Linked DNA regions of Stegostoma tigrinum. The protein of the gene in region 1 purifies or fractionates together with the protein of each later gene. This does not show direct contact. Links are inferred from orthologs where the notes say so. Each region holds a gene or a part of one and is shown on either strand. Other genes may lie near its edges.

The links.
Region 2: the proteins of lrrk2 (region 1) and dnm1l purify together in Homo sapiens (co-immunoprecipitation; 6 studies listed by BioGRID and IntAct, with this or other methods). This does not show direct contact. The link is inferred for Stegostoma tigrinum from reciprocal best matches to the Homo sapiens genes LRRK2 and DNM1L.
Region 3: the proteins of lrrk2 (region 1) and prdx3 purify together in Homo sapiens (co-immunoprecipitation; 3 studies listed by BioGRID and IntAct, with this or other methods). This does not show direct contact. The link is inferred for Stegostoma tigrinum from reciprocal best matches to the Homo sapiens genes LRRK2 and PRDX3.
Region 4: the proteins of lrrk2 (region 1) and myo1b purify together in Homo sapiens (affinity purification with mass spectrometry; 3 studies listed by BioGRID and IntAct, with this or other methods). This does not show direct contact. The link is inferred for Stegostoma tigrinum from reciprocal best matches to the Homo sapiens genes LRRK2 and MYO1B.

Annotation. Positions count from the first base shown.
Region 1 is NC_081378.1:38,590,804-38,598,148, reverse strand, and holds the start of lrrk2 (leucine-rich repeat serine/threonine-protein kinase 2), read left to right. Parts: upstream 1-4,322; 5' UTR 4,323-4,702; coding exon 4,703-4,838; intron 4,839-4,940; coding exon 4,941-5,026; intron 5,027-7,345. UniProt on the Homo sapiens protein: Serine/threonine-protein kinase which phosphorylates a broad range of proteins involved in multiple processes such as neuronal plasticity, innate immunity, autophagy, and vesicle trafficking.
Region 2 is NC_081371.1:18,785,510-18,793,488, reverse strand, and holds the start of dnm1l (dynamin-1-like protein), read right to left. Parts: upstream 3,002-7,979; 5' UTR 2,881-3,001; coding exon 2,779-2,880; intron 252-2,778; exon of another isoform or gene 183-251; coding exon of another isoform or gene 177-182; intron 1-176. UniProt on the Homo sapiens protein: Functions in mitochondrial and peroxisomal division.
Region 3 is NC_081373.1:25,473,579-25,481,018, forward strand, and holds the start of prdx3 (thioredoxin-dependent peroxide reductase, mitochondrial), read right to left. Parts: upstream 3,002-7,440; 5' UTR 2,909-3,001; coding exon 2,888-2,908; intron 1,247-2,887; coding exon 1,123-1,246; intron 1-1,122. Other genes in the region: U6 snRNA-associated Sm-like protein LSm1, read left to right, coding at 3,089-3,182. UniProt on the Homo sapiens protein: Thiol-specific peroxidase that catalyzes the reduction of hydrogen peroxide and organic hydroperoxides to water and alcohols, respectively. Plays a role in cell protection against oxidative stress by detoxifying peroxides.
Region 4 is NC_081360.1:35,474,004-35,481,080, reverse strand, and holds the start of myo1b (unconventional myosin-Ib), read left to right. Parts: upstream 1-4,076; 5' UTR 4,077-4,211; intron 4,212-7,077. UniProt on the Homo sapiens protein: Motor protein that may participate in process critical to neuronal development and function such as cell migration, neurite outgrowth and vesicular transport.

The DNA of each region.
Region 1 (7,345 bases):
AGAAACCTAATGGATCTTTTCATTTAAAACCTAAAATAGATATGTTTAATTGGCCATCTCAGTAACTGAGAATTTCTTTTATGTTGAGACTGTGTAGTGGGACCAGAATGACAGTGTCCTCCTTCAGCCTTGGTTATAATAGTGCTGGGATGGGAAGGTCAAATTTGGGTTTTCCCACCCAGAACTTAATTTGTGCAAATTCGAAAAGGGTTCCACCAACTTCCATAATTAATTTCACGTGTGGCTTTGGGGCCTGCCACCTCTTGGCCTGGAACTTCAGCTTGAGAAAGATTCACTCATCATGAAATTCCACTCTCACTGAACACCTAGTTTTAGTTTTTAAACTCTTGTTCACAAATACTCTACATGACCACTTTATTAATGCCGTAAATCTTAACTCTGACCAATCTAAAAGCATTTTTTCTTCCACATGTTTGTATGCACTGTTAGTTCTAATCCATTGGTGCTGACCTACATTTCAAATTATCTCTCACCGGTTGATCCCTAAGCACAGGTTTCCTATTTTCAACATCAGCATTGTTTCAAATGCACTCAATGACTTTGACTCTGGGCAAATCCTATTATCTTTCTCCAATTCAGAAATATCTCCCGCAGATATATTCACGCGGGGCAGTCCTTCTTTCCATGAAGTCCCAAATACTGCAGTGCAGACACATAAGTTGCTCTACCATAACTTAGTCTGCACTCCTAACAATGTTTAATTCGTGGTATACATGAACTCACACGAAACATTAAAGGACTGGACAAAATTTGGAGTTACTTAATGTTAAGATATTTAAGCCACAGAAATAGTACAGTCATTGCTTCCTTTCCTGGTTCTCAATTTTAATAACGCCCCCTAGTGACGTTTCATGCTCTTATTGAAGGTTTTTGTTTATACATGATTGGCACTTCAGATTGATCACAAGCATTTCCACTTTAGTATTGATTTATTTGGTTACTATTACACAACATTATACAAGTAAAGGAAGCAATAACACTTGTTCCAGAGGTGAACAATAATACCTCTAACATGTTGGTTAGAAACTATCTACAATTTACAGAAAACTATTACACACCATGTTACCCAGAAATCATGGACATGATTTACAGCTCTCCTTTGTTTATTATTCATTTGTGAATAAACTTGTTAAGTATTATGTCTTGCTTTAAAAAAATAACAATTTTTTTCTATAGAAAGTGAGTTTGGGGAATTGATAATGAAAAATAAAGAGATGGTAGATGAATTGAACAGGTATTTTATAATGAATGTTCACTGTAGAGGATGCAAGTAATATTCTGGAAGATTTATAAGTCAAGAAATGCAAGAGAGGGAGGAATTCAGTAAAATTATGATTACAATTAAGTTTTGGAGCTGCAAGCTGACAAGTTCCTGGATCCTAATAGATTTCATCGTATGGTTCTAAAAAAGTGGTTGGTGAGATAATTGATGCATTGGTTTCAATTCTCTAAAACTCTCTAGATTTAGGGAAGGTCCTATTAGATTAGAAGATAACTCATGTAATTGTTTATTTCATAACGGGAGGGAGTCAGAAAGCAGGAAATTACAGACAAGATGCCTCATTATCACGTGATTCCTTGCCCCAATGTGATATTCCCCTACTGGACAATGATGAGTTGCAGGCCTACAATGGGCATTAGAGACAGGATAGCACTGATTTAGAGAGGTTGTTCAGACAAGATGTATCTTGGGACAGATGAATTATATGGCATGATGGTTAAACAGCACCTAGGTTGAGAGAATGGGGTTGTATGTGTGAGGGTGTATCAGACATGCTGGCTATGTGCCTTGGCCAGCATGACTTTGTGCCTGCTATGCCATTATATACGTGCCAGTGAGGAGTACTTGCCAAATCTTGACTAGCTGCATTGCAGCCTTTCAAAAATAGCATGCTCACAAGGAATGCTGGTTCTTCCGCCATATGGATGACATTCTAATTCACTGATTCACTGCAACTGAATGTGATGGAAGAGTGAAAGCAATATTTAAATACATTTTCATTCATGATGAGTTGGTCCAAGAGAAGTGTGTGGTAGGATGGGGTTGAAATTGGACCTAAGGGATGCCATAGAACACAATAGGTAATTAAAAAGGTGAGTTTGTTCAGACACAATGAGGGTACTTCTTACATTTTGCAGCGAATAACCTTCCAAAATCTTGCACAGCCCTGACACAGCCAAAAACAAAATCAGCCCATGTTATTCAAATAGTGAGAGATTGCAGAGCTCTGATATGCAGAGGGATCTGTGTGTCCTACTGCATGACCTACAGAAGGTTAGTATGCAGGTACAGCAAGTAATTAAGAAATTTAATGGAATGTTATAATTTATTCCATTCACTTACACATGACATTGGTGGAACCATATCTGGAGTCCTGTATATAGAATTGGTTACTTTATTTATGGAACGCGGTAGAATGCGTTGGAAGCAGATCAAAAAAGGTTTACCTAATACTTGGAACAGGCAGACAGGTTGTCTTATGAGTAAAGGTTGGACAAGTTAAGCTTGCATCAACTGGAGCTTAGACCAGTAAGAAGCAACTTAATTGAAACATGTAAGATTCTGGGGGGTCTTGATAGAGTAGATGTGGAGAAGATGCTGCCTTAAACAGGAGAATCTAGGCCAAGGGAGTCACTATTTAAAAATAAAGGCTTGCCCCTTTAAAATAGAGATGAGGTAAAAAAAATTTCTCAACAGGGTTGTGAGTATTTGGACATTTTACCCCAAAAGGCAATGAATTTTTAAGACAGAGGTGGCTTAATTCTTGTAGGAAATGAGGTGAAAGTTTATCAGGCTTTGGCAGTAATATGAATGTGAGGTTATAAACAGATCAGTTATGACATCATTAATAAATTATAGAACAGGCTCAAAAGGGCATGCAGCCTGCTCCTATGCATAAGTTTATCACGCAGTTTGTGAGACACTGTTTTAATCATCTACCCTTAGCACTATATCAATTCCAGAGATTGATCCAGAAAATTATTGACACCATAGAAGTATTAAAAAGGGTTAACTGTCATAGGGATGACATTCTAATTCACCGATCCACTTCATCGGAACATGATGGAAGAGTGACAGTGATATTTAAATACATTTTGATTCATATTCTTCATGCAACAGGCATTAAGTCTGACCCACAGAAGGTTACAGCCATCAATGCTGTCCCACCACTTTGAAATACTGTGGAATTGCAGCAAATCATAGGAATGGTTAACCAGGAAGGGACTTTTCTTTTACCAAATCTGGCAAAAGGAAATGAACTACTATAATAATTGCTTAGACAGAATCAAGCATGGTTAAATATGAAAGCCAGAGGTTGGTGATGGCTTCTTATTGCGTTGTCACTTTCAGTGTTTCTAGCAATCCATCCACTCCCAAATACACATGCTCTTCCATGTTGAAACTTCCACCAGCTTTCAAGATTCTATTTTCACTTCTTCACATTGCTTACAATCAGATGGTGGGTTACTATGCATTGTATTTGAAGTTTTAGCAAAGATTCATGTATACATTATGTGCTAATTCAGGCTGGGCTGGTGGACCTGATGGAGGGATTGAATAGATTGGGACGACTGTTTTGCATTTTTTTCATATTTGAGGATTTTGATATTTCTGTAGGAGGCTTGTAGAATTCCTATACGATTTTAGCATGTGTATCTGACACCTAGCTCTGATTGGTTGAGTTTTATATTCCTTTCTCAATATAGTTATTTTATCAACGAATTTATAACTTTTTTTCTCTTCTTGGAGAATAAATGAATTATTAAAGAAAGTAGGAAATCATATTTGTATAATGCCTTTCATGACCTTAGGTTTTCATAATGTGCTTTCTGGTCAATAAAACACTTTTTACAAAAGTAGTCATGAGGATATATGACATGTATTGGTAATCTATCAGGAGCAATGTTAATAGAAGAATGAACGCTGACCATGCAATAGGGCAGAACGCCCCCTTATTTTGAAATAATTCCCGGGGATCTTTTGGATGTAACTGAGAGGTTCCATATATCAACGTTTCATTATGGCAAGATTACACGTCTGGAATTTTAGCCTCAATCTGGATTATATGCTCAAACCAAGATTTGTACATTTCAGAAGCTTTATCAAAAATGTTTTGTTTGAATAAGTGTAGTGGCAGCGGGAGCCTGACAGAATGACCACTGAGTTTTCAGCATGACGGTTCCTTCCTTTGTCAGGCATTAACAAAAATAACTTTGTATAACTAGTTGAGGGTCGACTCATGATAGCGGGCTGGATGGCAAATTGCCAAATGTGCTTTGGGGCTGCGGCCAAGGGAGTGTCTTCCCTGCAGTTTTTGTCGGTCTGGCCTAGAGGTCGGCTTTGGACTTCTCAAAAACACTAATACCGACTTAATCTTTAGAAACAAGTGAGGCTGAACTTTCGCTGAAAAAGAAGTCATAGAAGGGCACACTCAACGTTACTGACAGCAGCACCCGGGTGATGAAGCAAAGTTACTTTTGGAAACTCCCCGCGGACTGAAACTTCCGTAACTCATTTCTGATTTTTCACTTTGAACGGCCAGTATTGCAGTCATACTGTGACCACTGCTGACGAAGTAACCGACGGGTTAAAGACTGGTCGTTCTCACAAGCCAACCAGATATTTATTTTTCTACGATCAAACATGAAAAGCGGTCAAAATTAGAACAGTCGATTAACCATGGCGGACTCGGAACCACTGGAGGGAAACCTGAAAAAGTTAATCGTTCGTCTCCAAAATGTCGAGCAAGGAAAAGAAATCAGCACTTTGCTTCAGATTTTAGACGACTTGATTCTCCTCACTACTGTTCAAAATGGTAAGTAATCGTCTAAGAAATTATATGTTTCAAAAATCCGTTATCGGAAGACGGGATGGACACATTTTGACATAAAGTGCTGATTGTTTACATCTTAAACAGCTTCGATTTTATTCGGAAATAAAAATGTCCACATGCCGTTATTGGTGGCTCTCGAATCGTTCACCGAAATTGCCAGTATCCAACAGGTAGGCTGTTTATTTACGTCTGGTTCTATGACTGCAACGAGTCGTGCAGATTGATAGTTTTATTTTCGTCCTGACTTGTCACCAGCCAAGTTCAATATAGGAGTGTTAAAGGAATCCATACTATTTGTTTTTGCAGTCCAACTGAAGGAAAAGTTTTATGAAAACGGTTGGCATGTATTGATTTCCAGAACTTAAGCGACCTGAATCAGCTGGTCACTTGTGCATGCCGCTGGGACAAGAGTGACGCACGCCCCTTCCTCACTCCTCAACTTGTTTAAAAAGTTAATTGCCAAATACTTTCTCTGAACATCATGTGCCTCTCATTGGAACTTTCCCCTTACTAAAATATTCTGGACTCAACTACATTTTAAGTACATAAGTCACTGTTACTCCTCTACTGAGACAGGATCTGAGAATACTTAAATAGACTTGTCAGCTATATTGCAAATACCCTATATCGAACAACACTTGAACAGCACAACATTGGCCTTTTGCAGGCCTTTGTGAGAACTCTGCATATGTGACAACACAGATAGCAATGTTAAATTAGTTTAGCCGCTATAAAACTTTTCCCAGTTGGGTTGGTCCGCTGGCTGCTTGATGCGGTTCAGTTGACAGGAACGCAATAAAAATTCAAAAAACTATCACTGTTTATTATTTTTAAGAAAGAAGGTTAGTTGAGAACTCAATAATTTGAGGCTATCTCTAACTTTATCCTCGACTTCTACCCTTGCATGTGAAAGCACTGGTGGAGATTTAGTCAAGGACTTATTGTGGGACTGGAACCACATATGGTCCAAACCGCATATTGTTTCCTTTTCTAAAAGGACTTTGTGACCCAGCTGGGTTTTATATAAGAGATAATGGGAACTGCAGATGCTGGAGAATCCAAGATAACATGGTGTAGAGCTGGATGAACACAGCAGGCCAAGCAGCATCCTAGGAGCAGGAAAGCTGACATTTCAGGCCTAGACCCCCGAAACGTCAGCTTTCCTGCTCCTAAGATGCTGCTTGGCCTGCTGTGTACATCCAGCTCTACACCTTGTTATCTTGGGTTTTTATATAAATCTGCTAAAGTTACAATCATGCCTGTGTGCAAATACCAGAAGATATGAAGTTCAGATTGTTCCTTCCTAGTTTAGGACTTGAATATTGCGGAAAACAAAGTAAAAGCTGCAAAAGATTTTTGAGACACTCCCGAAGACAGCAAGACAAGAACACTCCATTTCAAAATGAATGACAATTTATAATGCACATGAAGAGTTGCTTTTGACTGGTAAATCAACTCTAATTGGTCAAGGTATCCAGAAAATCTTGTTCCCTGACACTTTTGAATTTTTAAAAAAGGAAATGCTTGGACATCTGTTTTCCTGCAAATGAATACGTATCTTTTATCAAGCATACCTGAGCCACATTTTAAGACTGACTCATGATCTTTAAATTGGTTGCTTGCATAATTCTTAGTGCACTCAAGATTGGACAGCATTTACTGAGCAATCACTGGACTACATCCAGCATTAAACATTATCTTCTGATTTCTGCAAGCGCAGGCTAGTTGAATATAGGTGGCGCTCTGTTGCAAACATTCCATGGGAGGTGCTGGAATTTCTGCTGGGAGTTCAACATTGCTGTACACAGTAAAATTGGTCCATTCAGGAATCTTGTATATGGACCCTAAACCATTTGTTCAAGCTTGAGGTCAAAGTAGGATGCATCAAACCAACCTGTGGAATAATAGCTATTCTGTCATTGCTCGCTGTGTAATGCACAAACTTAAGTGTAGGTCTAGTGCTATCACTTTGCGACCTGAAACATGACAGTCTAACTCAAAGTACCTGAAAAGGATAATGATTCTCAAATACTTGAGCACCATTTCACTCTCCTGCTTATGCACTTGAACTATGAATGGTGTTTTGACCACGATGCTGTAATCAAGCCAAAGACTCTGGTGAATCATGTAATATATACACTTTGGCACCCTGATGATGCCTGGTAAGAAAGTTGTACGTCCTGGCAACTACCAGATTTTGCCAAGCAGGATCTGAATGTAATATGCCATCTGAAAGGTAAAAAGGTAAAGGTAAAGTCTCCATTGTCTTTATCAGTCCATATGATTGCTCGTGATGAGAGAGAGATGACTGGTGATGGTTTAACCTGAGGGTCACCACGCCTCAGAAAAGTTGAGAAGGAGAAACCTTTACACACCTGAAAGGTAGCTGCTATTAAGCAAAAAACCTTAAATATCTTTCCACATTTACCATATATTAAATAAGCTTTCTCAACTCTTTTTGAATTTTAGAAATAAAAAGGCTATTAGTC
Region 2 (7,979 bases), on another chromosome or scaffold:
TAAGTGAATGCAATGTGCATTCATATACTATCATTAATGTAATTAAGTGTTATCAAGCAAAGTTTCACAATATAAATCGGAGTAAGTGTAGGTCATTTGGCCCATCATGCCTGTTCTGCCATTTAATAAAATCATTGTTGATCTGATTACATCTTAACCCCACTTTCTTGCCTTACCTGCATATCCTGCGATGCCCTTGCCAATCAAAACCGAGCTCTGAATTCATCCAATGACCCAGTGTCCACTGCTCTCTATGGAAGAGAATTCCAAAGACCAAATGCCCTCTGAGAAGAAATTTGTCCTAATTTCAGTCTTAAATGAGAGACTCCTCATTTTTGAATTGTGTCTCCTAATTCCATGTTGTTCCATGTAAGAAAACATCGTCCCAGAATCTACCCTATGAAGCCCCATCAGAATCTTATACCTTTCAAATTATAATTATCTCTCATTGTTCTAAACGCTAACGAGTTCAGGCCCACCTTCCCAATGTTCTCAGTCTTGAAGACAAATCCTAATTCCCAGAATCAACCTTGTGAACATCCTCTGTACAACTCCAAATGCAGATTTACTCATCCTTACATGAAGAGACCAAGACTGCTTACAATACTCCAGATGTGGTTTGGTCAATGCTCAGAACAACTGTAGGAAGACATCCCCTTGCAAAAGGTCAACATTCCATTTCTTTCCTAATTATTTGCTGTGCCTGCATATTAATGTTTTGTTATTTAGATACAAGAGTACCTAGAATCCTCCGTACTGCAGCATTCTGTAGTGTCTCCATTTCTAATAATATTCTGACTTTCTATTCTTCTTGCCAAAGCGGACAACCTAGTATTTTGTCACGGAACATACCATATGCCATTTGTTTTGACACTCACTTAACCTATCTATATACCTTTGTTACCATTTGTAACCTCCTCATAACTTGCTTTCCTTCTTTACATAAACAGTAAATCTGGCTTCAACACAGTTGGTTTCTTCATGCAATTAGCACAGACTATACATAGTTCAGGCTCCAACAGTTATTCCCGGGAAACCCACGAGCTACTATTCACGACTTGAAAGTGACCCATTCATCCTGACTCGCTATTTTTCTGTACCCACCATGTTCTGACATCATCCATGCGCTCTAATAAGTTTGACAAATGCACGTTGCCTTTCATAAAATCATACTGACTCTGTTTGACTGAATTAGGATTATCTAAATGTCCTACTAAATAGGATCAATTAAGATCATGAATCAGAACACAGGCCAGAATTAAAGAAACAGAGACATTTCGCAGGGTTTTAGGCAGAGGGAGAAGGTATTTGAAACAAAAGGTGAGAATTTTAGAATCAAGTCATAACTTGACAGGCAGCAATGTCAGTCAGCAAGTTTAAGGGTGAGGGGTAACAGGACTTGCTGAAAGGCAAGACACAAGTAGCAAAACAACTAGGGTTTAGTAATAAATGCTGTTTTGGCAGCATTGCTCATATCTGGGGGAATAAATAACAAAAACACTATCTCCCCTCTCATTTCAAGTTCCCAAAAGATCTATGCTTCAAGCTGTCATCTCTCTTACAAATACCATGCTGTGATAAAATATCTTACACGTAAGGAACCATTTATCTCTTTGTAATTTCCCTTTTCATTGAAATTTAATCTTAAATGAATCAATTATTCAAATGAAAAAAACAAATTGGCTCCTGTCATAAACAGTTTCCTCACTAGTGATTCAAATCCCATCTTTGGGAAACAGAATATGGGAACACAAGAGTTTGATGCAGGAGTAGGCCATTCAAATCATCATGACTGACCTGGTTGTGATCTGACTTTCCTGACTGCCCACCATAAACCTTGACTGCCTTATCTATCAAAAATCATTCATCAATACATTCAATGACACAGCCTCCTTTACCTTCTGGGAAGAGAATTCCACAGGCTGACAACCCTCTGAGAGAAACCTGGTTTGGCTGCCTCTTTGATTTTGAACCATAGTTCTGAAGTATAAAAGTCATCACACTTACAGTCACGCAACATTGCCCATTTCCAGCATTTTCTCAGCTCTCCTCCACTCACTCCCTTATCGACCCTTCTGTCACCATCAAATGAGATTGTTCTAGTGTCCCTTCTCCCATCATCCATCGTCACATGCCACAAACTCCCAAGTGGTTGAATCCCAGCTGCCTGTCTTCTGTCCCACACTGCTCCATCAATCATCCTGTCTTCACTAACATACTCTGGCTTCCTTGTCGCCAGTGAGAAACCTCCATGAATTTTACTTCCCCTCTGTATTTCTACAATACGATTCAATCTTACGACCTCTAAATATGACCTGATCTTTTCCTTCATTTCTCTCACTACAGCAGAAACCTCATCCACCTCCACTCTGGCGCCTGATACTCCCTGACTACCCCCTTACTTTGGAAAGCTCCTCAAAACTCAAACAACCTTCAGTGACCTCTCCTGAACTGTGCAACATGGTTTCAGTATCCGTTCCTACATTTGTTCACTTCCCCTGCAGGGGCCGTGGATTGTTTTGCACAGCTATCTTACAAAGACACTTAAAAATTTCAAATAGAAGACAAAACGCTATTTGAAAATCTGAAATTGAAAGAAAAATATGGCGGCGGAAATACTTAAACTAGTCGAAATGAAGACTCTGGATAAATCCCTTACGATTTTAACTCCCCAATGAAGCAGATAGTGTGAATGAGTGACAGCTATTGGTCTCCCTCACAGTCTCCCCAAACCCGCCGACAGCCGCGGCCCCAACTTTCGATCCTCGGCCTCCATACCTGTGTCCCCACCACCACGATTTGCGGCAACTGGATGATATCGGCCCCGACCGTGTTAAACACCTCCTGCAGCTTGTTAATGACGGGAATCAGCGCCTCCATCGCACCGCAGTGATAGCAGAGCGCACTGACTGACCGTTGCCCCACTTCAAACTGTCACCATTGCCTGCCCACGGGTTGGGGGAAGGATCTGTCCGCCTCCTGGGCTCGCCGCCGACGCCAATCAACGCGCACGCGCAAAGCCCTTGCAGTACCGGGCCGCCGAAATGGTCGCGTACTGCTCTCTGGGAATTGTAGTTCACTTCCCCAAACAGCAAACCTCAGTAACAAAGCCTTAGACTACAATCCCCGTCAACTCCTTCGGTAACTCTTCAAACTTGCTAGGATGTAGGCTATTTTGCTTGTGAATCTGTATTTGTACACTGTATACTTTTAGTTAACGCCTTCTACCTGTCATACTGCATAAATAAGGAAAATGCAAACCTTAATTTATAAATGTTTCTGTAATATATCAATGATATACTCAAGAAAAATCTACTTGAAGTGAAGACTTTTTAATACCAAAAATGTGCCTTCTGCTCAAGATGGAATAGATACATTTGAAATTAGAATTTGAAACTTTGAAAATTACATGGTATTTAAAGGGAATAAAGTGAGTAAAGAAACTAATTTGAAAAGTTTTGGTTTTGTTTCCAACTAATGTAATCTAGGCCGTTTCGCTTTTTAGTATGGAGGAGGTAGAACAGAGAGGAAATGACCTGCATCCTCAAGAGACAGGAAAGTCTCCATAAACACAAACAGAAGACAATGTGAACAGATAATTGCAAAAGTTAATGCTAGAGAATGTAGATTGAGAAACAGTTCACCACTGTAAGATAAAGAGATAGAACTGGAAGAAACAAATGACAATAGCAAAATTACCTTCCTCATTTCCTCATACTTGTTTGTAGGCTTTAACATGTTGACTACACATCCACCTCTAATTTCTGTCATTGAGCTGGATGGAACTACAGTAGCCTATTTACATCCTTATCTACCCAGCCAAAGCAATAAATTAATATGACAAACTGATACCTAGGTATCAAGGATCCAAGGATCTATTCTGGGCCATCTTATTTTATATCTACGCGCTGACCCTAGGTGACATTCTCTGTAAACAATGTCAGGTTCCACATATATATTTATGACAGAGCTCTGCTTCATTACCACCTGTCTCAACCTGTTTGACATCAAGTACTGGATGAGCAGAAATTTCCTCCAGTTATATAGGTTTCACTTCCATCTACAACACCATTCTACCGTTCCAATTTCACTTCTCTCTAGCAAACATCTAAGACTGAACCAGACAAGTGAAGCATTGATGTCATATTTGAAACAGATGAGCTTCTGTTCTATGCTAACACTACCTATTTTCATCTTCAAGCCAACCAATTCCAACACTGCCTCAGCCCATCTACTGCTGAAACTCTCATCTGTACTTTGAGACTTTTCAGACCTGTTTATTCCAATGATCACCTGTCCAGCCTCTCTCTGTGCTTCTCACACAAGAAAATTAAAGATTCGCTATCATTGTACCAATGCCACTGTCAATTTGCCTATTACTCCTGTGTTCATTGACCGACGTAACGATAGCCGGGAATGCACTACAATAAAAATATTAACTCAGCAAAGGGTTCTGTTTTGATAACTCAAGTGAATTATTGACCACTTGATTGACATCTTAAATGAGCTATTAGTTGTTCTGTTTGTGATCTCTTTTGTAAATCTTTCAATATTTATTTGGGCAAGATTAGGATGTGAAGTGTTGATGTCTGACTGACATTTTTACATGGTTACAGGAACAGCAGCTTTTGGTAGATTCACTAGCCAAAGAAACTATTTTCCAAATATCTATCCTACCAAACTCCTTAAGAATTTTTACAAATTTTACTTATGTCCTCAAAGGAATGTAGTATATGTATCAATTTACTACTTCGATTCTACACTAAAATAGCAGGAAAGATTCTCCAATGCAGTATATTTCTAACATTAGAGTTCCCAGAGAAATTAGATAGGCTCTCTAACCAGCATGCCTCTAAGTTTTCCCACTTCTGTGACCACCAATACTGTCTCAAGGGTCTTTACTCCCAACTCACTCCTGTATCTACCTTCCCAGAGCAAAAAGTGTGCATTGGGGTGTATTTTACTGAGGCAGCGCTCACAAGCTGGGAAACTGTTACAATATAAGAGGCTATTCAGCCCTTCATGTATGTGACTTTCTGTAATATCAACCTGGGAACATTCCCTTCCATCTGCTACACAATTCCTTTCACCATAGTCTGTAAATACTTTTCTCATCAAATCACATTTGAATCTGTCCTTACCACACTCAGCCAGTAATCTAATGTAAGAATGTTTTTCATGTATTTTTATTTCCATTGTTTGTCTCCTTAAATCAGTGCCTTCCAGTTATTGTCACTTCTGCAAATAGCAATATTTTTTAATCTACTCTATCCAAACGCCTAATGATTTTGAATACCTTCCTTTATTTTCCAATTACAATGAAGAAGTGTTTTGGAATTAGTCTTTTTTTAGTTTCAGATAAAACAAAGATCTGTGACCTGTCTGAGTTTGTCTAGCAGGCCAGGAAGAAGCTGGATATGAAATCAATTTCTGTGGTTCAGCGTACAACAATGCTGTGAAAAACAGCATTTACGAATGAGTAGGTTAAATTCATCGGGAGTTAATTTTGAGACTGGAAATGTTACCGGGATTAGGCTAGAGGGATGATCTCCAGGGAAAGGAAACCTCACCTCACAGTACAAGACAGTTCTACGATAAGAAGACACCAGGTTAAGAAAAGAAAACAAGAATAAAACCTCTTTATCCAAGAATCATCCTGGATCGATAGTGGGAGAAAATGAATATCCATGCTAAGTAAAATGTAAGTATAGCTGGAAACTGTGTTTCTTCAGGTGTGCCAAGAATACAAAAGGAGATATTCTGTTCTCTGGTTTAAAGTATAATTGCTTCCAATGATAGTGTTCAGTTAATAGTTTTTAGTAATTTATTGCAATAAATGTCTTAAAACATGAAGCCTGAACATGCCATTTCCTCAGCTCATAACTGGTTGTTCAAATTTTTGTAAAAAGAAATTCAGTCTCAACCGGGATAGGAACAAACTTTATCACATTTCCAGCCAGCGTTCTCCAAGGAGGACCATCCCAACTTCTCCAATCTATCCATTTCGTAGAAGGCCTTCACTATGGAACTGTTCTTGTAATCTCTTCTGCATCCTCTCCAATACCTTCAGATTGTTTCTAAAGTATGCCCACAATTAGACATATTATTGTTGACAGTCAACCAGGGTTTGCTTTTATACAGAAGCCTGCAATTTATAAAGCTCAAGATCTTACTCAGGGTGAAGAAAATAAATAATAATTCACTTTGGGAGTTGGCTAGACCTTGGAAAATTGTTGACCATACTAGTTCCATTTGTCTTGTTAATCGTTTCCCTCAACACTACCTGCCATCATCAATGATTTGTACACATATAATGACAACTATGTCATAAGAACCCGTGGTATTAGAGACAGTATATTCTTATGTATAGAGAACTGATTAATGGAAGGAAATGGTGAATGGCGATAAGAAATTCTTTTTCAAGTTTGCGGCCCATAACCAGTGGAGTTCCACAAAGATCAGTACAGGGACCCAACTTCTTACAATCTAATATTAATGACTTGGAAGTGTACTGTAGCCAATCTGCCAGTGACACAAGAATAGGTGGAATAGCAAGTTGCGAGGAGGATAAAAACTGTCTACAGAAAGATATTGATATGTTTAAGAAAGTTGGCAAATGCAGTAGTCGTTTAGTTTTGGAGAGAACAGAAGAACAGTATTATTTAAATGGAGAAAAACTGCAGAAAGCTAGAACACAAAAGAACTTGGGGTACAGATGCATAAAATACTGAAAGCTAGCATATCAGTTCAGCAGGTAATCAGGAAGGCTAATGAAATGCTGGGCCTTATTTCAAGGAATTGTGAATCAAAGAGTAGGGAAGTCTTACTGCAACTGTGCAAGGAACTGCCAACACTGCATCTGGAGTACTACGTGCAGTTTTGGTCCCTTTATTTAAGGAATGATATTATTTTATTGCAGGCAGTTTAGATAAGCTTCACTTGGATAGTCCCTGCTATGGAGGGATTGTACTATACGTAAAGGTTAAACAGGTTGGGATTCTATTCATTGGAATTTAGAAGAATGAGAAGTGACTTCATTTGAAACATAGGGAATTCTTAAGGGATTCGACAGGGTAAATGCTGAGAGGATTCTTCCCCTCTTGAGAAAGTCTCGGACCAGAGGGCATGGGCTTAAAATAAAGGAGAGGGCAATTTAAAATTGAGACGAGGAGAGGTTTCTTCTAAGGACTTAAGTCTTTGGAACTCCTTGCCCGTAGAAAGCTGCAGGGCAGAGTCCTTATGTATATTTGATCAGTTGGGAATGATGGGTTTGGGGAAAAGGGCAGGAAAGTGGATGTGAGGAATATCAGATCAGCCATGAACCTAGTTACTGACAAAGCAAGGTCAAGGGACCGAATTCTTATTTGTTTTTTTCCTTTAGTCTTAAATCTGTCTGCATCCGTACCTTTATACCCTTTATCTTCTCAATCCCCTTATCAAAATGTATCACTTCATACTTTTCAGTCAATTGTCCGCAATGCTTCTAAATCTTCTGTCATCTGTACCCTATATCCAAAGGCAAAGTTATTGATACAGATCTAGAAAAGCAGTGATTCTAAGACTCCTGAAAAACCTCAGTTCACGTCCAGTCTGAAAAGCAACTGTCACTCAGTTATTTTATACCTACACGACCATTACCCCTCTTAATTAATGTGCAGTAACTTTGCTGATATGCCTGTTCTGTGGCAGTTATTTGGAATTCTTTGGGAAGTTGATACATAGAACATCTACCACATTACCGTCAAAGATCTTAACCAACTTGGTTAAAAAATAATTTCCTTTTAAAAAATTAATTCTACCTTTCCTTTCTCTTTGTCAAAATGACTTAGTTTTGTCTTGAATTATTGTTTCAAAAGGTTTTCCCACCACTGAGGTTAAGCTGATTGGCCTGCACTTGCCAACTATATGGCCCTTCTGAAACATGACAGTTTGATGATTTTGCAGTTCACACTGCTCTCTCTTTTTTCTTTGGGGGGGGG
Region 3 (7,440 bases), on another chromosome or scaffold:
TAGAATGACAAAGTTGATAGATTTTGACCAATTGAATAGGCAATTTGAAATTAATTGAGGTGATATCTTTTAGAGTATCTGTATTTGCAAGGGCAAAAAAGAGAGATTACATGGTAAAGGAATGCCAATTCAAAGCGTAAAAAGTTCACCGTGGAGTGGCTGATGACAGAAATCTTGAGTTACTATTGTCTCCAACAGCTTGTCAGATTGCCTTACACAGTCAGCGACTTACCTGAGGACTAAACTGAAGGAAGAAATCTTCTGAAGAAGGGTCTAGGCTCGAAACACCCGCTTTCCTGCTTGGTTCATCCAATTCTACACTTGTTATCTCAGATTCTCCAGCATCTGCAGTTCCTGCTATCTCTTGACTAAACTGAAAGTTCTGAGGAAAGGTCACTGGACCCAAAAACATAGACTGTTTTTTTCTCCTTCACAGATGCTACCAGACCTGCTGGGCTTATCCAGCAATTTTGTTTTTGTTACTAACCTTCTAGCATTTTGTGATAAAATTGTCCAGTTTTATTCCTCATCTAGAGGACTAATACAGATTTGTATCATGACAGTGTCAGTTGCTGCATCAAACAATTTGAAATTCTTACTTGAAATATCTGAGCAAGATGTTTTCTTAATGTTATTTTAGAACAGTGCCAAAAAGAAGTGCTCCTCAAAACATGTTTTAGGCAATGTTAAATTTAACAGGCAAGTTATTACTAGTGGCAGGTTTAGCTATAAAAATCAGTCAGCTTCTAACGCCGCACTGTCGGGCGAAAGGCTCTATCTGTTGATAATGAAATGTGAGGTTGGGTGAACACAGCAGGCCCAGCAGCATCTCAGGAGCACAAAAGCTGACGTTTCGGGCCTAGACCCTTCATCAGAGAGGGGGATGGGGTGAGGGTTCTGGAATAAATAGGGAGAGAGGGGGAGGTGGACCGAAGATGGAGAGAAAAGAAGATAGGTGGACAGGAGAATACAGGTGGGGAGGTAGGGAGGGGATAGCTCAGTCCAGGGAAGACGGACAGGTCAAGGAGGTGGGATGAGGTTAGTAGGTAGGAGATGTTAATGGTTTTTGCTCAAACTGGTTATGAGGTCGTTTAGAACACATCAGCTTCCCAGAGTACTTACTTGTACTGAAGTTGCACTTATGACTTAGAGAGGTTGAACTCCGCCAGTTTGCTGCATTTTTGTGTCTGCAGTGCAGTCGGAGAGCCGCAGAAACTCCCCTGGCGTATAAGCATGCACGAGAAAGCTGCAAATCAACAGAAACGGAGAAGATACAAGATCACTCCAAGTGAACTACGCTTGGACGAATGTTAAATTTATGTTTCTTGCAGACGTAAGAGAAGTAAAACCATAAATTGATAGTAGTGTGGCTCCCCAAACAAATTAAGTGAAATAATCAGAAATTCAGATCGCTTTATATCTTTCAATTTAACAAAACAAAAATGTGTTAAGGAGGTTGGGGGGGAGGGGGGGGGGGGGGGGGGGGGGGAAGAGAGAAAGAGAAGTGGGGGGGGGAGAGAGAAGTGGTGGGGGGGGGGAGGAGAGAGAAGTGGTGGGGGGGGGGGAGAGAGAGAAGTGGTGGGGGGGGGGGGAGAGAGAAGTGGTGGGGGGGGGGAGAGAGAAGTGGTGGGGGGGGGGGAGAGAGAGAAGTGGTGGGGGGGGGGGAGAGAGAGAAGTGGTGGGGGGGGGAGAGAGAAGTGGTGGGGGGGGGGAGAGAGAAGTGGTGGGGGGGGGGAGAGAGAAGTGGTGGGGGGGGGGAGAGAGAAGTGGTGGGGGGGGGGAGAGAGAAGTGGTGGGGGGGGGAGAGAGAAGTGGTGGGGGGGGGAGAGAGAAGTGGTGGGGGGGGGAGAGAGAAGTGGTGGGGGGGGGAGAGAGAAGTGGTGGGGGGGGGGGAGAGAGAAGTGGTGGGGGGGGGGAGAGAGAAGTGGTGGGGGGGGGGGAGAGAGAAGTGGTGGGGGGGGGGGAGAGAGAAGTGGTGGGGGGGGGGAGAGAGAAGTGGTGGGGGGGGGGAGAGAGAAGTGGTGGGGGGGGGGAGAGAGAAGTGGTGGGGGGGGGGAGAGAGAAGTGGTGGGGGGGGGAGAGAAGAAGTGGGGGGGGGGGGGGAGAGAAGAAGTGGGGGGGGTGGAGAGAGAAGAAGTGGGGGGGGTGGAGAGAGAAGAAGTGGGGGGGGGGTGGAGAGAGAGAAGAAGTGGGGGGGGGTGGAGAGAGAGAAGAAGTGGGGGGGGGGGGTGGAGAGAGAGAAGAAGTGGGGGGGGGTGGAGAGAGAGAAGAAGTGGGGGGGGTGGAGAGGGAAGAAGTGGGGGGGGGTGGAGAGAGAAGAAGTGGGGGGGGGTGGAGAGAGAAGAAGTGGGGGGGGGGGGGTGGAGAGAGAAGAAGTGGGGGGGGTTGGAGAGAGAAGAAGTGGGGGGGGGGTGGAGAGAGAAGAAGTGGGGGGGGGTGGAGAGAGAAGAAGTGGGGGGGGGGGGGGGGGAAGAAAGGTGACCTTCGCCAACTGGCTGCAGGAATTGAAGACCAGCAGACAGATTGTCAGTTAAAAACTGTGGCCTCCTGATGCTGCTCCAGCAAAAACGTGGAGCCATATCGCCACGTGATTGGGGTAAAGCAGTCACCACACGGGACGGGGTTAAAAACACAAACTCCAAGTCTCTTCAGAGAGGGAAAAGGGGGCAAGTAGACATTTCGTGCATCTAAAGGTATGGTTCACTGGGACATCTAGAGAGCGGCAAATGGCCACAGGCTGTCCAGCAAACATTGACGAGGCACCCGGTACTGACGAACAACGCCATTTGGGGGAGGTGGGAGAGGGAAAGAAAGCCACATTTCAGATATAACGAGTATTCACTACGACCGCGACACAAAGAAATGGAGAGAATTCCCCTTCACACACCCGAGTCACAGTCGCCGCCATCTTAGTGTCCACAGCCCCGCCCCCTCCAGGGGGAACGCTGGGCCGCTGTTAAAAATGACCATCAGTTATCAAAAAACACACCGAATTCAATGCTCCGAAAACAACACGCAAAGCCCGTGTTAAATAACATAGAAATAAAACAAACAAAATTAAACAGCGCCAGGACCCCGCCCACAGTCCATGCCGGATGTGATGTCACCAAATGCGCGCAATTTCCGGAGGAGCAAGATGAACTACATGCCAGGGACAGCTAGCCTGATAGAGGACATTGACAGTAAGGGAATGTATTAAATATTTATCATCGGCGAGTTGTAGCCAACCTCATGTGGGGTGTCGGTAGTAAAGAAGTGTATTTAATTTTCATTACGTTCAGCTGTAGTCAGTCTGGTGCAGGACGTTAACAGTAAGAGAATATACACATTTATTGTTATGCCTGGCTGTAGGCAGTCTGATAGAGGACATTGATGGTAAGGGCATGATGCTCAATTGTCATCATGTAGAGTTGTAGTCAGTGTGAAAGAGGCTATTGGCAGCAAGGGAGTGTACTCTCACTACCTGTGCTCAATTGTCATCAGTTCAAGCAGTCGCCAATCTGAGAGAGTTACATTGTCAGTAAGGGAATATATTCAATTACTGTCATGACAGGCTGTGGTCAGTCTGATAGAGGATGTTGACAGGAATGGAAAATACTCAATTATCATGTTGATCTACAGTTGGTCTGATAGAGGACATTGATAGTAAAGGAAAATACACAATTATCATTATGTTGAGCTGGAATCACTTTCGTAGAGGACCTTTATAGTTAGGTAATACACTCAATTATCATCATGTCAAACTGTAGTCAATCTGATGGAGGACATTTGAAAGTAAGGGAATAGACTCAATTATTGTCATGTTGAGCTGTATTCTGTCTGAGAACAATGATAGTAAGGCAATATTCTCACACTGTAGACTCAATTATTATCATTATCATCATCATGTCGAGATATAGTCAGTCTGATATGGGGCATTCACATTTGGGGAATAGACTCAATTACCACAATGTGCTGAAGTGATTCTGATAAGCAACATTGACAAGAATGGAATATGGTGTCATTCTCACAGTATTCTCAAATATTGTCACATCGAGTTATAACCAATCTATTTGCATAATTTGGTAGGGAATATACTCACAATGGACACTCAATTATCATGTCAATCTATAGTCAGTTTGCTCGAGGACATTGACAATAAGGGAATATACTCACATTGCATCACTAAAATCAAAGAAGATCTGTAAAATCTTTTAAAAGTGTTTAAAATGTAAACATTTGGCTGAAATAAATATAGGTTCTTTACAGGCACAGTTGGAAGAATTTATACTGGGAAATAGAGAAATGAGAGAGAAGCTAAATGATAAAATTTTGTCTGTTTCTCTGTGAACTTACCAGAAATCTCTCAGAAGTAGCGATCCTAGTGACTGAGAATGATAAGTTGAAAGAATTTAGAGTTAGTATGAAGATTGTACTTGAGAAATAATGGATTCTAAAGTTGATAAATGGCCAGGACATGAAACACTACATCACAGAGTGTTGAAGGAAATGGTTATAGAGGTAGTCATTGCATTGATGGTTTTATTCCAAAATTCTGTAGATTCTGTAAAGATTGCTGCAAGTTTGGAAAGTATTGAAAGTCATCCCACTATTTAAGGGACAGAGAGAAAACAGGGAAGTACATACCCTTTAACCTTACATCAGTAGTCAGGAAAATGCTAGAATCTAGTATAAACAATGGGATAAATAAACACTAGTTGATAATTACTTGGTTGGGCATGGTCCGGATGAATTTGTGATTGGAAAATTGTATTTCACAAGCTTATTGGCGTTTTCTGAAAATGGTACAATATGAATAAAGGAGAACTAATAGATCTAGTATATGTAAATTAAAATAAAGGGAAAAAATTGTTTACATCTTATTCAGGAAATATCAAAATGCATTGCATATTGTAGAACTCGTGTGAGCAAGTATATACAGACACTGAAAACTAATGAGCTATATTACCTGGTTAAATTATTGCCCATTATGTCAATTCATGGAATGGAACATGTTAGTCTTTTACACCTACTGTCAGCATCAAGCAATTAAATCAACTGTAACACAGAAGGGTGTATACTTAAGTTGTGTGGAGCCAGGTGTAGATATCTTTTCTATTATCTCCACAATGTACCCAATGATCTACAGTAAACTACACATGAGTTTAAATTTATGAATATGCCATTGGGCTGTGTTCATATTTAATTGTAATAATTGTAGGAAGTATAAATATATACAGGGCTAGACATCAGTGCTCCTGAGACTAATTTCCCACATGAAATGTAAAACAACCAAGACAACAACCAGTGCATAATGTTATTTTGAAATTATTTTTAAGAATTTGTATATTATAAATGTTGTCAAAATTTCCTTTTGCTGAATTTCTACATATGTTTGATTCTGTAAAATTAACAGACCACCATATCAATTGAAAATAGTAATGTATTTCATCGTTGTTTGCCATTAAAATTGTTGCACCACTATGAATATCATGACATATAAATATTCAATGTCAAATGAAACTTAAAATAATTGAGAAATATATGTCTTATGAAGGAAAATATTATGGAATTTATAACATCTATATGTGTATATTTTGATTTACAGCACTAGAAACTGCGAGTATTGCTCCAGTGACCCCTTTTAGTATTTCTAATAGTTTCACTTTTGCTTTTAAAGAATGACTTTTTAAAACAGAACTTTAAATATCAAGTGTTTATTTTTTAATAAGTCCATGTCTTGTAAATCTTCCTCAAAGAAGAGGGCTGTTTTTCTCATGTAAATTTTAGATTAATTCTTTAGTTATTTGATATTGGATGAGGTGGTATTGTCTTTCTTTCCAGACCTGATGGTCGTGTTGGAAAGCAATTTTAAATAAACGAAGGATACACTAAACTTTGGTAACTGCATCATACGTGGGAATAATGATTTTTCAAACTATTTGTAGTACTAAGACTGGTTTCCAGGATTTGAAAGGATACTTGTCTTTGCTCCCACATGAAAGGAACTTACAGACTGCAAATTCTGTGAATAGACAAATAAGCCTCAAGTCGTTATGCAGTAACATCTGTTGCTTATTTTTCATTCATTCGTGGGATGAAGGCATCGCTGGTAAGACCAGCAATTATTGCCCATCTGTAATTGCCCAGAAGGCAGTCAAGAGTCAACCACATTGCTGTGGGTCTGGAGTCACATGTTGGCCAGATCATGTAAGGATAGCAGTTTCCATCCCTAATGGACATTAGTGAATCAGGTGAGCTTTTTTCCCAACAATTAGCAATGGATTCATGGACGTCATTGTACTCTTAATTCCAGATTCTTTTAAAATTGAATTCAAATTCCACCATCTACCATGGCAGGATTCAAAGGTCCCCAGAACATTACCTGGGTCTCTCAATTAACAGTTCAGGGATAATACCTTAGGACATCGCTTGTCCAAGAGTTTAAAACTAAAGTTCCTATATACATATAAAGTAGATGAGAGTGTGTGTTTGAGCAAAGAATATTATTGAACGTCAGAGCTGTTATTGTCTTCCACCACCAATACCATCAAAATGCATTCACTGCCTTTAAGTCTGAAGCTAAAACTAAACAAAGTTAGAGAGGGTTTTGCCATACCCCATGGTCCAAATCTGAACACAATTTAGTGCATGAATAGAGGAAACTTTGGAAGTCAATACTCTTTTCAGTCCAAAGATGCAAAAGATTCAAAACTCATTTGTAAAATGGCAGTTCAGCCAACATTAAGAAGAAACAGGATGCTTCTTCTCATTTGCTTTATTCACATCGCACTTTTAGTGATCTACTGCTAAAGTACACCTTCTGAGAAAGAGATTTTGTGTGAGAAATGACTTTAATGATATGATAATAGTATAGTAGGGATAGGATTCCTCCCCGCCAGTTCACACCACTTTTGACACATACTCAATCATTTCATTTGTTAGTTTGTACTGTACTTTCTTGTGTTTCTCTGGGTTTATTTTGTAAAAACTCCTCACATCTAAAAACTTTCTGTTTTGGAACAAAGCATAATTAGTCATATGCATAATCTGTCAGATTTAGCTGATAATGATCATTATAACAGAATTTATGCTGTAAATATTGCCATACCTTATCCAGTTGTTCCTTCAGCTGATTGGCACAATTATTGTTTGCTATGTCTGACTGCTACTTGCAAGATGGCAGTGTGCTCCTGAGATGCTGCTTGGCCTGCTGTGTTCATCCAGCTCTACATTTTGTTATCTTTGCCTGGCTTGGCTGTTGTCTTTTTCCTACATAGGCAGAGATTGGTTACACCTTCTACTATCCATCATCCACAAGTGATTTAAAACAAATTCTGGCTAATCCAACTCTGCCCAGCACTAAACGTGTGCTTTGCAATGCCCAGTTGACTCTTCCCTGCATACGTATGGCAGCTCATTCCATACATGCATTACCCTCTGTGTGGAAAAAAAGTTGCC
Region 4 (7,077 bases), on another chromosome or scaffold:
GGAAAATGACAGTGTGCAATAAGTGGTAGAATTCTGAGAAATGTAGAGGAATAGCGAGATTTTGGGAATGCATGGCTTCAGATCTTTGAAAGTAATTGGAAAGAACACAAAATGATAAAGCAGGTATGCAGAATACTTCCTTTTATTGCCTGAGGCTTGGAGTAAAAGAGCATTTAGGGGATTATCAGTGATAGTAGGCACTGCTGATGATTGAGTCTGAGATAACAAGATGTAGACCTGGATGAACACAGCAGGCCAGGCAGCATCAGAGGAGCAGAAAAGCTGATGTTTCGGGTCTGGGCCCTTCTTCAGAAATGGGGGAGGAGAAGGGGGCTGTGAAATAAATAGAGAGAGGAAGAGGCAAAGGTGGATAGAGGAGCAGATCGTTGTGGAATTGGAGGAGGACCAGAATCAACATGTTGTCCAAGGAGTGGGAGGGGACTCTGTCTTGGAGACCGCTTTGTGGAGCACCTACGCTCAGTTTGTGACAAACAACAACACCTCCCAGTGGCAAACCACTTCAACTCCTCCTCCCACTCCTTGGGTGACATGTCCACACTGGGCCTCCTCCAGTGCCACAACGATGCGACCCGAAGACTGGAGGAACAGCACCTCATATTCCACTTGGGAGCCCTGCAACCCGATGGTCTCAATGTGGACTTCACAAGCTTCAAAATCTCCCCACCCCCTACCTCATCCCAAGACCAGCCCATCTCATCCCCACCTCCTTGACCTGTCCATCTTTTCTCCCATCTATCTGCACCTCCCACCTCACTGACCAATGCCCACCCCTACTTCCTACCTATTAGCCTCATCCCTGCCTCCTTGTCTTCTCTCCCTCTTCATTGACCGACCCCCATCCCAACTCCTTACCTACACTCACCTTTACTGGCTTCATCCCGCCTCCTTGGCTTGTCCATCTCCTCTCCACGTATTTGCTCCTCTTTCCACCTTCAAGCATCACCTCCCCTTTTCTCTATTTATTTCAGGGCCCCCTTCCCCTCTCCCATTTCTGAAGAAGGGTCCAGACCGGAAACGTCAGCTTTCCTGCTCCTCTGATGCTGCCTGGTCTGCTGTGTTCATCCAGCTCTAGACCTTGTTATTTCTCCCTACAGCTCACCATACAGTTCAATAAGGAACTGCCACCTCTCCCTCAAAAGCAGTTATGGATGCCAACAAATGCTGGCCCAGCCAGCGACTCCCTCCAGTGAACAAGAAAAAACCATATCTCCTTAAAACATGGATTAGATTTCAGCTGTATTTGGGCCATCATTCTGCCCACCATATTGCAGGAAAGGTATGACATTGTTAGAGATGGTTTGGAAGAGAATGACAAGAATGTTGCCAGGAATGGAGAATTCTGACAAAAAGGAAAACATTGATATTATTTTTAAGTGAACATTTTTTGGGATCAGATAAGGCTGAGGGAAGGTTCAGTTGAAGAGTATACAATTACAGTGAGATTTCAATAGAATGCATAGGAAAAATCTGCAGATTTAGCAAAGCGGTCAATAAGTAGGAGGGTTAGATTGTTAATGACAAAGTAATTGGTGAAAGAATTAGGGTTGGGGAGAATTTTTTTTCACTCAGAAGGCCTTGAACTCACCACCTGAAAGGGTGCCAGAGACAAAATTCTCCTTGTGTTTAAAAAATGGTCTGAAAAGAAATTGAGGTGCCATGTGTAACCTACAGGACTACAGTCCAAGTGTTGTAGGCGGAATTAATTTTGACAGCTCTTTAACAACAAGTACAGGTTTAATGGGTAAAATGCCTCTTCTGTCATTCATCTTTCTGTATTCTAAGAGTATTTGTTAATTAAAAATTGAAGTGTGCCAGTTTAAACAATACAGATTACATCTCAGGATTTTCTATATATTTTCCTTCGAATTTAATGACTCTGTAGGTTTTCACAATCAGAAGTTGAATGATGTTGTCCCAAGGAATCCCAAGCAACTTAGTTGGAGGCCAAGGGAGTTTCCTATAAATATTACTGTAGGACACTGAGTGATTTTACAGTTCCCTAATATTCCTTTGGTTCAGTGAACCAATTGGTCTCTTACTCTCTTTTGTTTGCAAATCTCAGTCAGTTTGGTGATACTGATGTTAAAACTGGCCTTCCTCCAGTTAGTAGATGGAAGATGAGAAAACAGATTGGGTTCCAGCTTCCATGTTCTGTATTGTCAAGACGAGAGCAAGTTGTGATGCACTTCAGGAGCAAACTGCCGATTGTCATTTACGGTGGAGACTCAGAAACAGACAAAATTTTGGAAAGCATGCCGTCCTTCAGAATTGTTTGTGAAAGAAAAGAAACAAAGGGGAAATATTGACCTAAAAAATGTCCAAAGGGCTCGTGAATATATTTATATTTAGGTATAGAAAAAGACTTCAATTTATATAACGCTATTTGGCAAAGTGTTTTAAAGCTAAGTAAGCATATTTGAAGTGTGATAATAAAATGTGAGGCTGGATGAACACAGCAGGCCAAGCAGCATCTTGAAGTGTAGTCACTTGTGTTGCAACTGATGAATAACACAGCAAATTTGTGTACAGCAAGCTCTCATAAAAAGCTTTGTCGATAATGGCCAGATGATCTGTTTCAATAATGGTAAATGAGTGATTAATATCAGCCAGAACTCCAGGGATAAAACCTCTACTCCTCTTCAGTACAATACAATGGAATCAGAGAGAAGATGGAGTATCAGATCAATGGTCCAGATATTTTGATCACAGTTGGAAACATTATTTCTATCCCTGCTCGGATTTAAAATTACCCGCTGATCCTCCGATAGCTTCTGCCTTGGAGATTTTTCGACAGGAGTATCCTGTTAGGGGAAGTATCGATGAATCCAGCAGCGAAAACGATCTTCATAGAAACCATACCAACTTTTGCAGCAGTCAGTGCGCTGTATTCTGTCATTACAAAAAAACTCCAGCAGCACCGCTACCTTTACAGCTCCTCTGGAAAGGTAGGGGTGGGTTATGGTGACAGTTGGCGAAAGGGTTAGGGTGCAAGGTAAGTGATGAAGTTCCAGAAGGAAATGGCAAGGAGGTGGGCATGCACAGGAATAGTGAGCTTGCCTGGGAATGTCAGGCGAGCAGGTGTGACGGGGAGAAAAGCGTGTGAGGGAGGTGTTATTGAGTCCTAATGCCATAGTTTGAGAGTGAAGGGTGTTTGATCAACAGGTTCCGTTTGGGGAAGGGGGCGTGTAGGGATTGGGGGTTGTCAGGATCTGGGAGGAGCGGGTGAGGCGAGGATTGTAAGAAGTTGGGAGTGGGATAGTTGTGGGGGAAGGTGAACAGTGAGTTAGGCATTCAGTTGAATAATTACTCAGGAGTTTGAATCCTCCAACTTTTCCTTGGTAACTATTAGGGTCACTGAGTTGGAACCCTCTACATTCTTTGCATTTAACGGACTTTTTCCCGAGGGTTGCCAAATGCCGGAACATTGCCCATCAGAAAATTCAACTTCCCGCTCAACTCTCACTGTGTCTGGCTTACACACAGTCCAACGCGCTAACTCCAGGCTGCATTGCTCTAACGTCAATCTGCCCATCACAAAATCTGGGCCGGTCTGCTTCTCCTAAGGACTGCACCTCTGTCAGCGCAGCATTACCTGACAATCCACAGGTTTTTTTCGTGTGTGTGCGCGCCTTAGTCATAGCTATAGTCATAGACACGAACTCCGAGAATTCACCCAGATGGATAATGGCGGGGGTGGGGGTCCCCGCATTAATGTTTCTCCCTCTGATCTCATTCACTGAAGTGGCAAAAGTATAAATGCCGTTATAAACCCGAAAGGGATTTCTGCTATTTAAATCGCCAGACTGGGGTCGCAGATCTCTCAAGCCTTGCATCCAGCTTATCTCTTCACCAGGAACATCCTGCTCCTTGTGCCGCCTCTGCAGCCCCTTCCCTCTCTCTGCCCCCGGCTATAGTAGCCTGCCCTCACCTGGTGCCGCTGGTGCGTGGTGCTGGAGCAAGAGGCGGGGAGAGCAACAGCAGAAGGTGATTAGCATAGAGCCTGAGTGAGACACACCCCGCCCGAGGCTGGGACTGACACAGAGGGAGGGGAGAGCACGCTTCACTAGGTCTGGGGTTAGTTAGACAGGGAGAGAGCCGAGCAGCGGGAGCACCGTCAGGCTTTGTCCTCTTTTAGCTTGTGCACAAAGGACAGAGAAGGATTCGGAGTTGCACACAGTTTCACACTGAAGGTAACGCTCTACCCCCCCCCCCCCCCCCCCACCACCACGGTTTCTCTCCAATGCAAAGAAAGCCGGGTTCGAGAGGGCGAAACCCCGAGCCAGAGCTCTTTTAAGATGTAGCGGGGTTTTGGAATCTCGGCTATGAAACTGAATGGGGATGGTGAAGTCGCGTGTTTGAAGTGAACGTTTCACTGGAGTAGGGTCCGAGTTTCAACCGAAATTAACTTATGCCCTGGGATAAAAGAAGCTGGTCCGGCTGCCTAGCTGTTTCTTAAACAAAACCGTCCCCTTGACCCAAACAAAGGCAACTAAACAGCTTTACAAACACAAAATACAGCTGTAGGTCGGAAATAGAGAGGATGCTAGAGAATGAGCGGCTCTCTGATTTATCTGGAGTGTGTGAGGTGGAGTTTGGGGTTCTGTCCTCACCCCCTCTCGCTGTGAGTGCCTTTGCACGGGCAGTTTAGTGGCTGTAGAGGAGGGTGGCAGTATCTTTCTCTTGGTGCTGCGTGTTGTCTCCAGGCCGGCAGATGGACACCCGCGGTCTGTATTGTCATGTTGTTCACTCAAAAGGCAGGCAGAGTTCCGCGTGAGAGCTGCTCTTAACCCTCGGCTATTGGGTGAAATCTGTAATAACTGCTCAATGAAAAGGCTAAGCAGTGTCCGCGCCACTGCAGTAATGTGATTCAGATGTGATTGAAACCAGATGATTTCTGGTGTGTGTGTGTGTCTCTCTCCCCCCCCCCCCCCTCCCCAGTTTAATCTTTCTGATGTCTGTGGTATTGAGTAGTCCGTTGAGCGGAAACTGCCATGATTTTGTTGTTCGCCCTCTTTAGCTTTCACTTATTTTGTTTTTGTTTCTCCACGCTCCACTGACTCTCTGGTTTGCTCTTGATCTCCAAACGTGCCCGTTTCTGCCGGATTCCGCCTTGACTGAGTGGTCAAGCTCCCAGCGCCCTTGTTGGTTTTACGTTCTGCGAATAGTAAATACCCTGACACTGCAAGATGCGTGTGTGGCCATATGAGCAGGCGACACTTAACCTGGTTTCCCAGCACCTAGTCTGCACAGTACTGACAGCGTGTTTTGAGAAGTTTTGGTGTGGCGGTGTAATCAGTAAAAGTCTTCGACGTTTCACTGATTATTTGCGGACTTGCAGAAATCTGTTTAAAGAGCTAAGATATAAAAGGAAGTAACTCCCACCCCTTAAACGAGACGTGTTTTTGAAACGCCTGACACGGAAGTATAGAGATTGCACTGTGAAGTCTTCGGCAGCAGGTAAAGGTCAGAGTGTGATGTCTGGCTAACTCCCATGCGCTGTGTATTTTTAACTGCAGAAGTGTCCAGGCCGATGATAGCCAATCCTGAATACAGAAACAGTTCTTGGCTTTCTGCAAATTAATTAGATGTTTAACCACAGTGCCAGCTCCCTGGAAAGTGCCACTCCCTGCGTGCACGTTGAATCAGCGAAATGTATTGCTAAGTCAAGATAAAGGGACAGAATTTATACATCCCAGAAAGCAAATGAAGCAGAATAGTACTGGAGCCAATGTTTATGCACTTTTACAAACACTTACAGATTTACGTGCCACAAGCAAGCACCTCGTAACTCAACCACAGTTTCAGTTTCTGTCTATTTACAGAGGCACAGTGAATTCCCAGCTAATACGCATCATCGGCGCACAGCTAAAAGCATTTAATATATATTTCTGCAAGTGGCTACTAACTTTTAAAATTTTACTCATGGGACTTTATTGCCCGTTTTTAGTTGCCCTTTAGAAGGTGGTGGTGAGCTTCCTTCTGGAACTGCTGCAATCTACATGGTGTAAGTAGGTCCAAAATGCCTTTGGGGAGGAATTCCAGGATCTAGACCCAGTGACGCTGAAGGAATGGAGATATAGTTTGAGGTCAGGATGGTGAGTGGTTTGGAGGGGAATTTGGAGGTGGTGGCATCCCCATGTATCTGTTATATTTGTCCGTCTAGATGGGAGTGATCCTGTGTTTGGAAGGTGCTGTTTTAAGGAACTTCAGTGAATTTCTGCAGTGCATCTTGTAGAAAATTCATACAGTACAGTTGCTACTGAGCATTGGTGGTGGAGGGAGTGGATGCGGTACCAATCAAACGGGCTGCTTTGTCCCGGATGGTGTCAAGCTGAGTGTTGGAGCTGCATCCATTCAGGCAAATGGGGAGTATTGCATCGCACTCTTGACTTGTGCTTTGTAGATGATGAACAGGCTTTGGGATTCAGGAGGTTAGTTACTTGCTGCAGTATTCTTAGCCTCTGACCTACACTTGTTGTCACTGTTTATATGACAAGTCCAATTGAGTTTTTGGCCTGTCACAACTCGATGTTGACAGTGGGGGATTCGTTGATACTAACACCATTGAATGTCAAGGAGTGGTGACGGTCTGTCTTTGGAGATGGTAATTGCCTGGCATTTGTCTGATGTGAATGTCACTTGCCATTTGTCAGCCCAAACCTGGACATTGTCCAGATCTTGTTGCGTTCGAACGCAAGCTGCTTCAGAACTGAAGAGTCATGAGTAGTGCTGAACATCCCAACTTCTGAGCTAATGATAGAGGGAAGGTAATTGAGGAAGAAGCTGAAGATGGTTGGGCCTAGGACACTTCCCTGAGGCACTCCTGCAGAGATGTCCTGGAGCTTAGGTGACTGACTTCAACAATTACAATCATTTTCCTATGTGCCAGATATGACTCCAACCAACAGAGAATTTGCCCTCGATACACATTGATTCCAGTTTTGCTAGGGCTCCTTGCTTCCACACTCAGTTGAAATTAGCCTTGATGTAAAGGGCTGTCACTCTCACCTCACCTCTACAGTTCAGATATTTTGTCCATATTTGGGTCAAGGCTGT